Linked DNA regions of Ovis aries. The protein of the gene in region 1 purifies or fractionates together with the protein of each later gene. This does not show direct contact. Links are inferred from orthologs where the notes say so. Each region holds a gene or a part of one and is shown on either strand. Other genes may lie near its edges. The genes, in order: U2SURP and SF3A2.

Region 1 (3,818 bases):
GGCTGAGAGCTAAAGAATTGATGCTTTTGAACTGTGGTGTTGGAGAAGACTCTTGAGAGTCCCTTGGACTGCAAGGAGATCCAACCAGTCCATTCTAAAGGAGATCAGTCCTGGGTGTTCTTTGGAAGGACTGATGCTAAAGCCGAAACTCCAATACTCTGGCCACCTCATGTGAAGAGTTGACTCATTGGAAAAGACTCTGATGCTGGGAGGGATTGGGGGCAGGAGGAGAAGGGGACAACAGAGGATGAGATGGCTAGATGGCATCACTGACTCGATGGACATGAGTTGAGTGAACTCCGGGAACTGGTGATGGACAGGGAGGCCTGGCGTGCTCCGATTCATGGGGTCGCAAAGAGTCGGACACAACTGAGCGACTGAACTGAACTGATTGTAATATGTTCTTTTGCATGCTAAAGTCTTATCACTGAAACATTAACTGCAATCCTGTATAAACCAAGTGGGCTTCCCTGGTGGCTCAAAGGTAAAGAATCCACCTGCTAATGCAGGCAATGTAGATTTGATCCCTAGGTCAGGAACTTTCCCTAGAGGAGGAAATGGCAAGGCTCTCCAGTATTCTTGCCTGGGAAATCCCATGGACAGAGGAGCTACAGTCCATGGGGTCAAAAAAACAGCTGGATAGGACTTAGCAAAGCAACTAAACAACAACAACATAAACCAAACAGCTGGAGATTCACATTCCCAGGTACAAAATGCAGATATAAGAATAATATATTCTTATCATCCAGTCTGACAAAAAAGTAGTCATCTGTACAATATTTATCAAATATTTACCAATACTTAATGATGCCAGGTATCATATGAGGCACTAAGAATACAATAATGAGTGAAAATGAGCTTTGGTCCCTTAGTCCCTCCTGTCATAGAGCTCAGCAGAACTTGAGAGGCGGAGGGGGCAGGGGAGTGGAGAAGGAGCCAGGCAACCAGATAATCACAAAAGTGTAGGATGACTTATACAACAAAGAGGTGCACTGTATTATTAGAATGTATAGTATGTAGGTTCTACCTAAAGAGGTCAGAGAAAGCTCAATGAACTTATGCTCAAACTGAGATCTAAAGGGTCTGAGACAAGAGATGTTCCAAGAAGAGGAAAGAACATGTATAAAGGTCTTTGGTAGGAGAAAACATTGATATTTAAGAAACTGAAACAAGGACCATGTGGTTCAAGTAGGGAAGCAAATCAGGAGTATCTTGTAGAAGTGAAAGCGAAAACATGATAGATGGATTAGGATGGTGAAAATGAAGACGAAGGATTCAAGAACTATTGAGGAGGCTTAAAAAAAAAAACAAACCAGAAGGGTGATGAACAGAATCTGCTACCACTGTGGTACACATCTTTTCAGGTACATATTTACTTACATAGGTATCTTCAGTTTAACAACATGAAATTGTGCTGCATATTTCGCTTTATTACTTGCTTTTTTTTCTTTCTTCTACTAATATACAATAAATGTTTTCATGTCATCAAATAAAACACCAATCATCAATTTTTACATAAGGATACAAAACAGAGAATTCCTGTTATATATAATTTCAACTCCTGGGCTCCAACAATTCCAGCAACAAATATCCACTATTTTGTGGTAAACAGTACATATTTTCTACAAAGAAATGTTACTCATATCTGTACCTCCAAAGCATCCCCAGAAATAAATTTTAAGATAATCAGACAAATACAGTGAATACATACCTCTGCTTCCTTTTCTTCAATAATATTTACAAGTCCTAAGAAAATATTTTGTAGTTTGATCAAAAATGGTTCTGGATAAATTGCCCAATCTTCCCACGCTCTAAAGCAGGTCATTACCCGTTGCTAAAAGGAAAAAGACAGTGAATTATTATTCAGGACAATATGTATCAAACGTCATCTCATGATAATGACCATCACAATTTGCTGAATTTCCATCACAATTTTCCTTTAAAGCAATATTGTTTTTAAAATTTAAGGAAAAGAACTATCATTACAATATTTTTTATCATTAGTTTTTTTTAATCAATGTTACCTCTCAATTAAAAGAGGAAAGACACTAAGAATAAATATTTTTTTAAAAAAACAGTTAACTGCTTGCTCTTGGTCACCTAAGCTCAAGTTCCCTCTCAGAATGGTACACATTCTGCGAAACACTAGCCTAGAAACTAATGAAAGCTGGATACAAGTGTAGCCAAGTTCTGATCTGAACTCCTTTATGGTCTGATGAAATACTTCCCGAGTCAGATTAATACCTCTCTCTGTCCCATCCTTAAACTTTTCTATAATCTCTGTCTTATGGTCAAAATTTAAGATAAAAAAATTTTAATGGAGTTGTTAGTTTGACTCCCCTAAATGGTGGAGTCATTGGGGATCTGCCCAAGCTAAAAATTTCCTTAATGAGTGTTCTGCCCACGGAAGTATATTTATTTTTTTTATCTGTAAGTAAGGTATTTTGTTTGGCCTTTCTTAACATTGGTCTATAACTTCAGAGTTTATTTTAAAAATTAATAGCTGAATATACTTTCTAAACATGGATAACTAAAATGTGTATTTCTAATCCAACCAAATTATATATACTACTACAAAACAAGCGATCTTCTGAATATTTTCTGTGAAAAGACTATTTTATTAAAATGTTTAAAAATAAACCAGACACCCAAAACACTACACATATTTTAAAATTTCAGACTTTTTCTGATACTGAAGGTAAAATGGTGGTAAATTTTAAACCAATAATTTGTAAAACATCTAAGTTATGTCTTACAGTTATCTTACATACTCTTAGCTCTCCAATGTGGTTCCCAGCCCCCATGTCCCATTTAAAACACTAGGGCAAAAATAACCAAACAATAAACGTACCTTAAAGTTTTCAGACTGTAAATGGCCTTGAATTGTACGATAGGTAGCATTGAGGTCTGAAAATATCTGACACAACTTTGTTTCAAAACTGAAATTCAAATAATATGTTACTTTAACTCCTATTATTCTGAATTTTTCTTCTGCAAAAGCTCCCAAAGAGTCTTAAGAACTAGTTCCCTTGATTAATAAGGAATTTTACATCTAGGTTACTTTGGGGCATCTAGTCCAACCTCTTTGTTCCATAAAATAGGGAACAGAAAATTTAAGTGACTTGTCCAAGGCAGAAAAAGGAATAGCAGAGCTAAGATTAGGGTTGATTATCTCCAAATTTCCCTTCAGAGCCAGTTCTTAAAAGCCTCCCTGATTCATAAAATAAACACCAAAAAGGAAATGTCGGGAACTGAGCAAGAGTTATACTATACTCTTTTCTGAGCTTCTTACCCTTAAATATTTTATTTTAGGCGTATCACCTTATATCACTATACTTACAATTTTCTATAATAGGAAGCATTGGCAACTTTGGCTGAAGAGTTGTATAAAACATCAGAAACCAAATATAATCTGGCAATCTAGAATACCAAAAGATAGCATAAAATGGATTAAAACTGAAAACCAACAGCAAATAATGTAGCTAACAAAAACTCCACATTGAATTTTTTGAATCAACAGCATAAGGACAATGTTTAGCTATGATTTAATTATAACTAATTTGAAGAGTTTTAAGAAATTCAGTATCACCACAACCATGACTTTGGCAGGAATAAAACTTGTCATTCATTTACATTTCAACCTGTTGATAATTTGTGTCAATTAACCTACATTTCCCTGGCAGAAGGAAAACAAAACTACATGGGAAAGATTTCTTCAGTCAAGTTCTTGATTCAAAAATGAAACCAATTTCAATCAAAGCAGAAGTCAGTTACTACCTCTCTTTTTCTTAATTAAATGTTCCATAAAGAAAAATCAT
Region 2 (3,423 bases), on another chromosome or scaffold:
GGCTGCGCTGCCCTACTTTATAAGGGGAGCAGGGCTGTTTGTGGTACAGGGCAGTCCCTATCTCCTCCTGGGACATGACCTTGGAGACTGGTGCCTGCTGCGAGCCTGGGAGGCCTGTGGCCTTCTCAAAGCCCCCTCTGTTCCAACCTGCCTGTCTATCTCCTGAGCAGTGATACAGTGTGTGTGGCCTGTGACCCATTTGTCAGACTGTCCTTGACAAATCTTTCCCCTCCCCAGAGCAGGAATGTGAGCAGGAGTGCATGCCCCAGACAGTCAGACTATCAACAACCTGGGGGTGTTGGAGGGCAAGGTGTGGAGCCCCTGCCCCAGGAGGATTCAGGTGCCAGCCCCAAGGGGGATGACGCTTCACATCGGGTAGGCAGGTCTGTCCCCCAGTGACCCCACGTGCTCGCTCACCCTACCTCTGAGGCCCACAGAGACCCCCAAGGAGAGTGAGCAGCCTTCTTCGCTCTGCTGTCTTCCCAGAGAACCACCCCACATTCTGCTGGCCCACAGGGTCTGTCCTTGCAGAGACAGCAGGGGCCACCCCCTGTGGTCCAGGTGGGACCCTGACACCCCCTATGGTGGTGGAAAGCAGTCACGTGTGTTCACCCACAGCAAGCTGACCGCCCACAGGTTAACACAGCAGTCCAGTTCAGGGTCAGCAGACTCTTTAATGAGCTCTGAGGACACCCAGCCCAGTACAAAAGAACTCTACTCTGAGGGCGAAACCCAGGAAAACCAAACCAGACTTGCTAGGATGGGGGTGGCTTTTCAGTTGGTGGGGGGAGGGGGAGGAATGTTCCCAGGGCCTTCGGAGGGCAGTGGAGGCCTCAGCATCGGGGGCATGGGCGTTGGGGGGTGCACCCCAGGATTTGAGGGGTGCACCCCAGGTGGCTGAGGATGGACCCCAGGAGCCGGAGGATGGACCCCAGGAGGAGGGGGGTGGACCCCAGGAGGCTGGGGGTGGATCCCAGGGGCTGGTGGGTGGACCCCAGGAGCTGGTGGGTGGACCCCTGGAGCCTGGGGGTGAACGGCAGGAGTCGGGTGCACCCCCGGAGCCTGGGGGTGAACTGCAGGAGCTGGTGGGTGCACCACTGGTGCCTGGGGGTGAACACCAGCAGATGGGGGAGGATGGACCCCTGGGGCTGGAGGGTGGACTCCCGGAGCAGGAGGGTGGACTCCTGGGGCTGGAGGGTGGACCCCTGGAGCAGGGGGGTGGACCCCAGATGCTGGTGGGTGAACCACTGGTGCCGGGGGGTGGACCCCAGGAGCTGGGGGATGGACCCCAGGAGCAGGGGGATGCACCCCAGAGGCTGGTGGGTGGACCACCGGTGCTGGTGGGTGGACCCCAGGAGCCGGTGGGGGCAGCTGAGGAGGGCCTGGGGGCCCTGAGGGTGCAGGCCCACTGGGCGGCATCGGTGGCAGGGGCAGGCCTCCTGGTGGGGGCGGAGGCAGCGACTCTGGTAGTGGCGGGCGAGGGGGCAGGCCGTTCATCAGTGGGGGTGGGGGCCGTTTCACCCCAGGAGGCCCAGCAGGAAGGCTCGGTGGGGCTGGTGGCTTCTCCATCTTGAAGTGGAACTGGAGGAAAAACTGGACAGACAGGAAAAACTGAGTAGGGTCCCAGAGGCCTTGGGGTGGGAGAAGGATGGGGAACTGCATGGACATGGACTGACTCACTTGCTTGGTTTCCCGGTTCCAGTGAGTCCAGAACTTGCCTTCAGCCTTGTCTATTTCCCTGCTTGGCACCTGTGCGGGGTAGAGGGGCAGACAGGCCCTCAGGACCATGAAATGGCCTGGCCCAGGAGGCCCTTCTATGAGGGAACAGGGTCTGACGTGGGGGTGACAGCTGGCATTCTTGCTCCACTGCTTAGCAGCCCTGCCACCCAGGGAAGCTGCAACCTACCCTGTCTCGTTAACATGTATCTGAGAATTGGACCAGGTCAGAGTCCTGCACAGCCTGGTAACAGGGCCACCTCACTGCTAGGGCCATGCCAGGGTCTGATTCACGGTGGACACCCAGCCCCTGCCCTCACTCTGCATCGTCTTCTGACAACCCTCAGGAGGCAAGGGCCCAGAGGGGGCGCCTGGTGTGGGCTGGGGCCAGCTGCTTGGATGGAGCAGACCCTGCAGGACCCTCCGGGGTCCCAGCAAACTACCTTGAAGGCGATGGTCTCATAGGGCTCAGCGGCCATGAGTAGGTACTGCCAGCGCCGGTCCGGGGGCTCGATCCTCTGCTCGTAGGCAGACATGAAGCGGTGTCGGGGCATGATGCCCTCGGCAATCTCAGGGTAGTCGATCTGCAGGGACACGGCCAGTGACAGCACTGCCTCTCAGGGGCCCCTCCCCTCAGGACAAAGGGTTCCCGGCCTTTGCTCACCTGGAAAAGGAGGCTCTGCTGGCCCATCTCTGTATCTCTCTGCTTGGTTACTGCAACACAGGAGGATGTCAGGTCCAGTAACGGGGTCCTAGGACTGGCCTAATGTCACCCACGAATGGGAGAGCTGGCTTGGCAAGTGGGGGGAGGTCACCCTGCTGGGCAACTAGCAGTCATTGGCCCAAGGGTGGGAGGGCTGTGCCCCAGGTGCCACCTGCCTGATATCACTTGGGTGGGGGCAGAGGGTGGGCTCCCCACTGCCCACCCTCCTCCACCAGACCTTCTGGGAGCGGGTGCCCATCACAGTCTAGCTCTGTGGCTTTGGGCTGCTCTCCACACAGCTCCGGGGCCCTTCATATGCGCCCTCAGGCACTTAGTGTCTCCCTGACACAGCCAGGAAGAGGCCAGATGACCCAGACTGACCAAAAGGCCTGTGGTGGCCTCCCTGGGGGTAGTGCCATCCTCGCCCTGGCTCACCAAGCTGGACCACTCCAGGGCCTTCCCAAGCCATGTCTTGTCTGAAACGCCAGTCATACACAGGGTGTGCCCACTTCAGCAAGAACACCTGCAAGGAGGCCTGCCTTCCCCTCCTCCCTGGCAACCCGATCCTCTGCAGCTGCTGGCCCAGGTAAGCCTCCTCTTTCCTTTACTCTCTCTCCATGTGAAAAGGCACCAGCACCCAGTTCTAAGGTCAGAGGAAAGGACTACACCAGGGCCTGCAGTCCCCTCCCACCCTCGCACCCACCTCTGCTAGGAGTATAAAGAGCAGAGGAGACACTAAGGCCCCCGCCCTCAGGGCAGGAAGCCTCTAATGGAAGCTGAGGCCACTGGTGAAGCTGGAGGTGGGTGAGGGACTGCCCACCCAGGGCATCGACAATTACCTTTGTAGCCTGGGCGGCCGATCTTCACAAACTTCTTCACTTCTACCTTGACCTTCTCCGGTGCTGGCTGGGCGGGGGCCTCCTTGGCCTCCTTGGCTGCTCGCCGGGCCCTGCAGGTGGGACGGACACAGTGTTGAGGCCCCTCCTCACAGGCCATCAAGGCCA

What was found.
Region 2: the proteins of U2SURP (region 1) and SF3A2 purify together in Homo sapiens (affinity purification with mass spectrometry; 3 studies listed by BioGRID, with this or other methods). This does not show direct contact. The link is inferred for Ovis aries from reciprocal best matches to the Homo sapiens genes U2SURP and SF3A2.

Annotation. Positions count from the first base shown.
Region 1 is NC_056054.1:246,592,490-246,596,307, forward strand, and holds part of U2SURP (U2 snRNP-associated SURP motif-containing protein), read right to left. Parts: intron 3,421-3,818; coding exon 3,341-3,420; intron 2,940-3,340; coding exon 2,852-2,939; intron 1,835-2,851; coding exon 1,712-1,834; intron 1-1,711.
Region 2 is NC_056058.1:19,189,402-19,192,824, reverse strand, and holds the end of SF3A2 (splicing factor 3A subunit 2), read right to left. Parts: intron 3,369-3,423; coding exon 3,259-3,368; intron 2,431-3,258; coding exon 2,381-2,430; intron 2,301-2,380; coding exon 2,160-2,300; intron 1,750-2,159; coding exon 1,681-1,749; intron 1,594-1,680; coding exon 775-1,593; 3' UTR 655-774; downstream 1-654. UniProt on the Homo sapiens protein: Component of the 17S U2 SnRNP complex of the spliceosome, a large ribonucleoprotein complex that removes introns from transcribed pre-mRNAs.